2 linked regions of the Oryctolagus cuniculus genome follow. The protein of the gene in region 2 binds, or shares a complex with, the protein of the main gene of each other region. Links are inferred from orthologs where the notes say so. Each region holds a gene or a part of one and is shown on either strand. Other genes may lie near its edges.

What was found.
Region 1: SPAG5 (region 2) and KNSTRN share a complex: the UniProt entries of both Homo sapiens proteins name them as parts of the astrin (SPAG5)-kinastrin (SKAP) complex. The link is inferred for Oryctolagus cuniculus from reciprocal best matches to the Homo sapiens genes SPAG5 and KNSTRN.

Annotation. Positions count from the first base shown.
Region 1 is NC_091443.1:63,564,646-63,569,265, forward strand, and holds the start of KNSTRN (small kinetochore-associated protein), read left to right. Parts: upstream 1-1,740; 5' UTR 1,741-2,150; coding exon 2,151-2,359; intron 2,360-2,510; coding exon 2,511-2,602; intron 2,603-4,620. UniProt on the Homo sapiens protein: Essential component of the mitotic spindle required for faithful chromosome segregation and progression into anaphase.
Region 2 is NC_091448.1:44,103,982-44,108,334, reverse strand, and holds the start of SPAG5 (sperm-associated antigen 5), read left to right. Parts: upstream 1-1,293; 5' UTR 1,294-1,435; coding exon 1,436-1,486; intron 1,487-1,739; coding exon 1,740-1,865; intron 1,866-4,353. UniProt on the Homo sapiens protein: Essential component of the mitotic spindle required for normal chromosome segregation and progression into anaphase. Required for chromosome alignment, normal timing of sister chromatid segregation, and maintenance of spindle pole architecture.

The DNA.
Region 1 (4,620 bases), on a different chromosome or scaffold from region 2:
CGTGCTTGCCTTTTCCACCATTCCCTCCCTCCTGTGCCCCTTGCCACCAGGAGGCCTTCCTGGTGTCTGGGATACCACTCTGTTTTCATTTTCTTCTCACCTCTCTGGCACCTCTTTATCAAGTTTCTTGGCAGGCACCTTTTTTTATCACTGCAAATTCTAAATGCAGGTGTCCCTGTCCTTGGCCCCAGGGCTCCTGCTACATTTATTCTTGATGGTGGTCTGTCGTTACCCATCAAAATGAACCTGGGCTGCTCCCCCCTGGGCAGCTAATTCAGCAGAGACCAGAGTCAAGATTCGACACAAGGGAAAAGTGTATTATGAGTAGCCGGAAGAGGAAGAGTGGGTCTCCTGGTGCCAGATATGCTCTTCCTAGTAAGCAAGTCAGCAGGACTTCTGAGGGGAGACGGCAGTTGAGAGAGGGTGGGAAGACAGTGAGTCTGGGACTGACTCTCAGGCAGGTTTTCATGGTCCTTTCCAATGGTCATCCCGGTGCTAGCTAAGTAGAGCTGCTTTGGTGTGAAGCTTGGCTGCTTACAGCTAGTGGGCTGTGTCTCCCTTATCTGAGGCATGATGCCTGCCATTCTGGCCACTTCCTTGCGGTTCGCTCCTGACACTCTTAGGCACACATTATTTATCGATTTGTACATTCTGATTAAGTCACAGGGCTAGTAGTTAGTTTTTGCTAAAGTTCACGGAATGGAGGATATAATCATTACTGCTGTGATTTCTTCAAATCCATATGCATACTAACAACAACCAGATTCCCCTTTGTACACAGGCACTTCTAGAAGTTCAGGGACAGACATTGCAGCACAGTGGGTTTAGCCACAGCTTGGGACACACATCCCATTTTGGAGTTCCAGTTCAAGTCCTGGCTCCCCTGCCTTTTTTTTTTTTTTTTTTTTTTAATTTATTTATTTGAAAGGCAGAGAGTTACAGAGAGGCAGGGAGAGAGAGATAGAGAGAGAGATCTTCCATCCACTGGGTCACTGTCCAAATGGCCACAACAGCTGGAGCTGGGCTGATCAGAAGCCAGGAGCCAGGAGTTTTGGAGTGCAAGGGCTCAAGCACTTGGGCCATCTTTTGCTGCTTTTTCCAGGCCATTAACAGGGAGCTGGTCCCCACCCAAACAGCATCTTAAGACTGTTGTGTGAAACATCTGCCCTGACTCATCAACTTAAACCAGGTTTCCCCACTTTTCTGTCTCATAGCGTCTTGTAATTTTCCTTCAGTTACCACAATTGGCAAATTACTTGCGTGATTTTTTTTTTTTTTTTTTTGACAGGCAGAGTGGACAGTGAGAGAGAGAGACAGAGAGAGAAAGGTCTTCCTTTTGCCGTTGGTTCACCCTCCAATGGCCGCCGCTGCAGCCGGCGCACCGCGCTGATCCTGGCAGGAGCCAGGAGCCAGGTGCTTTTCCTGGTCTCCCATGGGGTGCAGGGCCCAAGCACCTGGGCCATCCTCCACTGCACTCCCTGGCCATAGCAGAGAGCTGGCCTGGAAGAGGGGCAACCGGGACAGAATCCGGCGCCCCAACCGGGACTAGAACCCGGTGTGCCGGCGCCGCAAGGTGGAGGATTAGCCTATTGAGCCACGGCGCCGGCTACTTGCGTGATTTTTTAAAAAAATATTTACTCTCCGTTTCCTAGAATATAAACTCCATGAAGGTAGAGCCAAGGTCAGTCTTGTAATTTGTTCTCGCTCACCCCGACCCACCCTCTTAGAGTGAGTGCTCTGTGAATATTTATTGAATGAAATGAGTACAAGTACTAAATGACTGACAACTCTGCCCGGTCTATTAGGAACAGCTGTGGATCTTTAAAATATGGGTAAGTGCTATTTAAGTCGGACAGGCAGGTAGGTGCCTCAGGCACCTAAGCACACAGGCACAGGTGGCCGCCATCTTCAGCCTTACCTGTTACTCCGCACCCTGTAGTGCGCAGTTCTCATATAAATAATCTCCGCTCCTGACAGCATCCCCAGCCATGACAGACTAAATAAAGAGGATTATGACACTGACTCTAAACGCGGCCACGTTTGCGTCCCCAGGCTGGAATATGACGCCGGCGGCTCATTAGCTCCAATCAGGTACGCGAAGTGCGGCTCACTATCTGGCCGCCGGCCTCCGCTCGGTCTTTCCGTACAGCATGGCAGCCCCCAGAGCGGCGGCCTCCGACAGGGCCTTCCGTACAACAGGGCCACCTCCGGAACGCGAGCCGCGCCCCTTCCCTCCCAGCTACCGGAAGTTGCCCTTTGAAACCGAGGCGGCGGGCTCAGCCGGCGGCGCGGCGGTTGCTGCTGAGCGTCTTTTGAACCAGAGCAACAAGGACTGCGGGCGGGAGCGGCGGGCGCCTGGGTTCGACTTTTCCGGGACGAGGGAGAGGGCTGGATGTGAGGGCGGGCGGGCAGGGCTGCGAGTGGAGGGTTTGCTCTTCCCCGACGCCGGGCCCGCGACCATTCGGTCGCCGTGGCCGAGCGCTGGGTAACGTTCGTCTTGCTCCTTCCAGGGCCCAGCCGTGCAGCCTGCTTACGATGACCAGCGTGGTTAAGACGGTGTACAGCCTGCAGCCCCCCTTGCTGAGCGGCGGCTTGCCCGCAGGTGGGTGTCGCCCTGCGGACCCGCCGTGGGTGTGGCGGGGAACGAGATGCGGGCATCCCGTGGGCTCTGAAGACCTGCTGGGCCCCCTAGAACCAGGCTGTCCAGGTTTTTGATGGCAGTTAGGATTTTTTAGTCCTGGCCGGAACCCTTCCTGTCTGCACCACGCCGACCGTTCCGTTCTCGCTGTGGGTTGTATAATACGATGACCGTTAAGCTAGGGACCCCTTTTTAGACGGTGGTCCGTTTTATTTCCAGACTCGGCTACCTGGCGGAACCTTGTGGTCAGGCAGGAATGTAGGGGCAGTGAGATGCTGGGGAGGGGAGTCGTGGGATTGCTGGTTCACCTTGTGTCTGCACAGGGGCTCTCTCATAAGCACGATCAATAACCTTTGAGTGAAGGCGGGGGTGTGTGTGTCAAGCCTAGCCAGAGGGTTTGAGACCTGGGAGGAGAGAGAATGGCTGTTAGCTGCTTTGCCATCTTGCTTTGCTTGTGCTTGGAAGTCATCTCCGGGGGTTAGCGGTCCTGGGACAGCCTCATGGGGAGATGATGGCATGGAGTTAGCTCTCGACAGGAGAAAACTGTCGTGTGCGTGCCGTTATGGCGCATCTGTTTATGGCCCCTTCCAAGAATTCTCTGCAGCTGGCTGATGTGCTAGGGGACAGTTAATCTTCAAGGTAAATAGGCTTTTCTCTGGAGGCTGAAAGGGTTTTTTTGTGTGTGTTACCTCAGAACACCTGAGGAGTGGCATTCTTGGCATTGGCAGGGACTGGGCGTGGCGGGAGGAACTGGCCCCAGGTCTCCACAGCGCCTCTGTTCCCTGCAGGTGCAGTGCCCCTGGCTCAGCACCAGTGACTGCCTCTCCCTGCCTCCTTGCAAGCTTTCTGCAACTGCGGTAGATGAACAGTTTTAGGCTGTCACTAGGTTTTCTGTCTTGACTTAGAGCATAAGTTGGTTGTTTTTTAAGGTGGTTTTTTTTTTTTTTTTTTTTTTTTTGACAGGCAGAGTTAGAGAGAGACAGAGAAAGGTCTTCCTTTTTCCGTTGGTTCACCCCCCAAATGGCTGCTACAGCCAGCGCACTGCGCCCATCCGAAGCCAGAAGCCAGGTGCTTCCTCCTGGTCTCCCATGCGGGTGCAGGGCCCAAGCACTTGGGCCATCCCCCACTGCCTTCCCGGGCCACAGCAGAGAGCTGGACTGGAAGAGGAACAACCAGGACAGAATCCGGCGCCCCAGCCGGAACTAGAACCCGGGGTGCTGGCGCCGCAGGCAGAGGATTAGCCTAGTGAGCCGCGGCTCCGGCCCAGTTTTTATGAATGATTTATTTATTTATTTGAAAGGCAGAGTAGCAGAGAGGCAGAGAGAGAGAAATCTTCCATCTGCTGGTTTGCTGGCCAGTCCGAAGCCAAGAGCCAGGAGCTTCTTCCAGGTCTCCCACACGAATGCAGGGTCCCAAGGACTTGGGGCATCTTCTACTACTTTCCCAGGCCATAGCAGAGAGCTGGGTTGGAAGTGGAGCAGTGGAGTCTCAAACCAGTGCCCATATGGGATGCCAGCACTACAGGCAGTGGCCACAGCGCCGGCCCCTGCTTTTTAAGTTTTTTTTAATAGGTAGTATATGCATATTAAAAAAAAAAAGTTAGGAAATGATAGTGAAAAGCAAGTTTCCTTCCCTCAATTGACAAGAGCTGGTTTTCCTCCCTGTCTCCCCTTTTAAGAGACAGTGTTTGTTACATCCTACCACATTGTTCCTACAAAGCAAACCATGGTTTCTGACAAATGTGGGTTAATAGAATCAATTCCAGTCAATGAAGTGTGAATTTTTATCAGTTTACCATTAACTCTGTTTTACATGAGGTCTATTTGTTATTATATATACCTTGATACTTATGGTAGAAGAAGATAAATATATTACCCCAGAGTTTCCTTTTACTTCAGACACCTTAAAAAAAAACATGTAATATTTGCTTTTGTTAAGAGTAATGAAAATAGAGAGGACAGGTGTCCAGTAAATGTACCTAT
Region 2 (4,353 bases):
ATTGAACAGCCCAGTTCTAGAACAGCCTATAGCCTGAGGGCCCTGCAGTTCATAACCGACTATATATAGTTCCTCCCTTTGGGACTGCTGCTTTGCCCAAGTCATTAGGACTTCCAGAGTGTAAATAAGGTGCCCTGAGGCTTCAAAAGGAACACTCGCCCACCACTGATGAACTCTGAATACCTGCCTTTCGGCTGCTTTCAAAAACCAATCCCACTTTCAATGGACAGATTTCTCAAATAGGAGGAATGCAAGAGACAGCAGAATGTAGTGGGCTGTGTCTACTATGTGGGACCTCGGACAAACGACATACTCTTTCTAGGTTTCAGTTCCTTCGTCTATAAAATGGGGATGTTTACAGCCATTCCTACTTCGTAGGTCCTTATGAGGATTGAATGAGCGAATACATAGAAAAAGGCACTGCAAGAGCCAGCGCTGTGGCATAGTGGGTAAAGTCGCTGTCTACAGTGCCAGCATCCCATATGGGCGCCAGTTTGAGTCCCGGCTGCTTCATTTCCAATCCAGCTCTCTGCTATGGCCTGGGAAAGCAGTAGAAGATGGCCCAAGTCCTTGGACCCCTGCACCCATATGGGAGACCTGGAAGAAGCTCCTGGCTTTGGATCGTCGCTGCTCCGGTCATTGCGGCCAACTGGGGAGTGAACCATCGGATGGAAGACCTCTCTCTCCCTCTCCTTCTCTCTGTGTGTAACTCTTTAAAATAAATACATACATCTTAAAAAAAAAAAAAAAGGCACCGCACCAGGTACATAAATGCTCAACACAGTACATGGTAGCTACTATTCCGGTGGACTTGTCACAGGCCCCAAGGTCAGCTCCAGGCAAAGTCCAGAAGGTTGGCACAGGCACCGGGGCCCAGGTTGAGAACTACGTCCCAGGCCCGCACGGGTGTGAGGACCTAAGCACAAACTGCCCAAGCGTCAGGAAAAAGCACCCACTCACCCATCATCCTGGTCTCCCCGGCCTGCTCTTTCCTGTCAAGGCTGAGGCGATGCGTTACTAAGGGAGACCTGACGAGACCTGACAACTTTCCTGACGGGGTGTGAGGGCGGTCCACTGGAAGCAGGAAGGATGGAGTCCCCGACTCTCCAGCTACCTGTCCGGTCCTCTCTGATGTGCGGACACAACTCCCGCCTCCGACCTGGTCCGTGTCCAGTCCTCAAGCCGGCGTCTGAGGTAGAGTTGCTCGGGAGACGGCGCGCCGCGCGTGGGCGGGTCCAGCCTGAGGGGGCGTGGCTAAGCGAGGCCCCGCCCTCCGGGCGCCGCCGGGCTCCAGCCTCGAGCGACGCACCGTTCTGACGCACTGCGTCTCCACAGCCAATCGGGAAGCGCAGAGTCGGTTCAAATAAAGACGGCGGGTGGACATGGGGTTCGCGAATCTTTCGGGCAGGTGATCGATCTGCGTCTTGTGTTAAAGATGTGGAGGGTGAAGAAACTGAACCTCGGCCTGTCGCCTTCGCCTCAGCCGGTGAGCGGGAGGGTCTGGAGGAGAGAGCGCTGGGCCGGGGTATGGGGGCGAGGGGACCGGCAGTGCCAAGGTTCCCGGGAAACTGGGTCGAGTTGGGGGCGGGGGGCCCGAGGAGTCTTTTTGTGGCTACGGCTCGATAGGAGTGGGACCCTTACTCTTCTTTTTGACTCAAGGGCTTCTCCAGAAGGAAGGAGGCCGGGCTGGCAGAACCCGAGCTTCCTCACACTCACTGACTTCTCACGTTCCTTCTCAGGGGAAACCAGCTATGAGGACTCCTCTCCGAGAGCTCATGCTGCAGCCCAGTCCCCTCAGCAACTCTGGAAAAATGTCGCCTGCGTGCTCCTCGCTGACCCCATCGCTGTGCAAGCTGGGGCTGCAGGTGAGATTCGCCTGGACAGCTTCTCGCCTGGGCTGTTTGCCCAGGCCGAGAGCTCAGAGGAGCAGAGGGCCGGGGCTGGAACGTAATTAATAACGATAATGAAGTCTTCTACCTCAGTGACTTCTATTTACAGCTATTCAGGCCAACTGAGAGGTGCCCTCGGGTAGTTAAAAGGAAATCCACCGAGAACCTGAATCTCCATTTAGCTGGTAGCTGGGAGTTTTTATTACCTCCTTTCCCATTCGACCTTTATCAAACTGTTGGGATATACTAGCACTCTGATTGGTGGTCTCCCTCTAACATGGCTTAGGTATGAAGAGGTCTATTTGCTACAAGAATGAGCTGTCTCCTTCCACTCCAGGAGGTGGCCAAGTCTCTTGGGATCAAATTACATCAATGGAAGATAGGGTGCTTGGACTCCCTAGCTTATCCCTTGCAGACTGCCCTCAGTGAGTTGTACTTTTGTCAAAGATCTTGAAAGATGTAGCCATGTACAAACTGCTCTTCATTTGTTGTAAAAACTTGCCAAGGAAGCCAAATGACCCTTCTAGAAGGTTCCTAAAAGAAATATTTTTGATTTATTACCTGGGAAAATTATCTTCCTAAAGAAATTGCTATCCTTTTTGTAATGAGAACTGTGACTTTGCCATATTTTTCCTCTTTCTCTGGCTTCCAGAAAGCTTAGGGTCAAATTTGATGATTAGTGCCAGTTACTTTTTTTTTTTTTTTTTAAGATTTATTTTTTTGGGGGCCAGCACTGTGGCATAGGTTAAGCATCCACCTGCAGCACCAATATCCCATATGGATGCCAGTTAAAGACCTGGCTGCTTCATTTCCGATCCAGCTCCCTGCTAATGGCTTGGGAAAGTGCTTGGGCTCCTGCATCTACATAGGAGACCCCTAAGACGCTTCTGGCTCCTGGCTTTGGATCATTCCAGCTCTGGCCATTATGACCATTTGGGGAGTAAACCAGCAGATGAAAGGCCTCTCTCTGTGTTTCTCCCTCTCTCTATCTGTAACTCTGCCTCTCAGACAGAACTTGGGGGTGGGGGGAGGAGAGAGAGAGAGAGAGCAAGCAAGTGACCTTCCATCTGCTGGTTCACTCTCTAAATGGCTGCAAGAACTGGGACTGGGCCAGACTGAAGCCAGGAATTCCAACCTGGTCTCACACATGGGTGTCAGGGGCCCAAGTAATTAGGCCTGGTGCACTAGCATGGAACTGGATCAAATGTGGAGCAGCCAAGACTCAAACTGCACTCCAGTGTGGGTTGCCAGCATCACAAGCAGTGGCTTAACCTGCACCACAGTGCCAGTTCCTTTCCATTTTCATATGCTGACTCAGATCTTTCTTTACCTTAGAGAAATTTTATTCTAATATTTGTTTTAAACTTTTAAAAAGATTTATTTATTTATTTGAAAAGCAGCATTAACACAGAGAGAGAGAGAGATCTTCCAGCCACTGGTTCACTCCTCAAGTGGCCTCAATGGCTGGAGCTAGCCCTATCAGAAGCCAGGAGCCGGGAGCATCTCCTGGGTATTCTACGTATGTGCAGGGGCCCAAGTTCTTAGGCCATCTTCTACTGCTTTCCCAGGTACATTAACAGGGAGCTGGATTGGAAGTGGAACTGCTAGGACTCAAACCAGTGTCCATATAACATGCCAGCACTGCAGACAGCGGCTTTACCCTCTATACCACAGCGCTGACCCCTTAAATTTTTTTTTATTTAAATTTTTTATTTATTTATGTGAAAGGCAGAGATAGTGACAGAGATCTACCAACCACTGGTTTACTCTCCAAATGCCTGCATCTGCTATGGGTGAGCCAGGATGAACCTAGGAGCGCAGAATCTAGGTCTTCCACATGGGTGGCAGGGACCTAAGTACTGACTCCCAGGCTGCACATTGGCAGGGAGCTGTAATCAGAAGCAAAATCAGGATTCAAACCCAGGCACTCTGAGGTGGGATTCAGGCATCTCAACTGGCATTTTAATACCTACACCCTAACATTTGTTAATCAGTACCTCATCTGTATTATGTTCTCTTTTCTTCTGGAATTTCTTTTATTCAAATGTTAGGTTTCCTGGGTTTATCTTCCATTTTTCCTAGCTTTTCCCTCAGATTTATGTTTTCTTTGTCCTTTATCTTTCCTTTTTTTTTTTTTTTTTTTTTTTTTAAGGCTTATTTATTTATTTGAAAGGCAGAGTTACAGAGAGGCAGAGGCAGAGAGAGAAAGAGAGGTCTTCCATCTGCTGGTTCACTCCCCAAATGGCTGCAATGGCCGGAGCTGGGCCAATTCGAAGCCAGGAGCCAGGAGCTGCTTCTGGTTCTCCCATGTGGGTGGCAGAGGCCCAAGCACTTGGACCGTCTTCTGCTTTCCCAGGCTATAGCAGAGAGTTGGATCGGAAGTAGAGCAGCTGGTACACGAACTGGCACCAATATGGGATGCCGGCACTATAGGCGGCAGCCTTATCTGCTATGCCACAGCGTC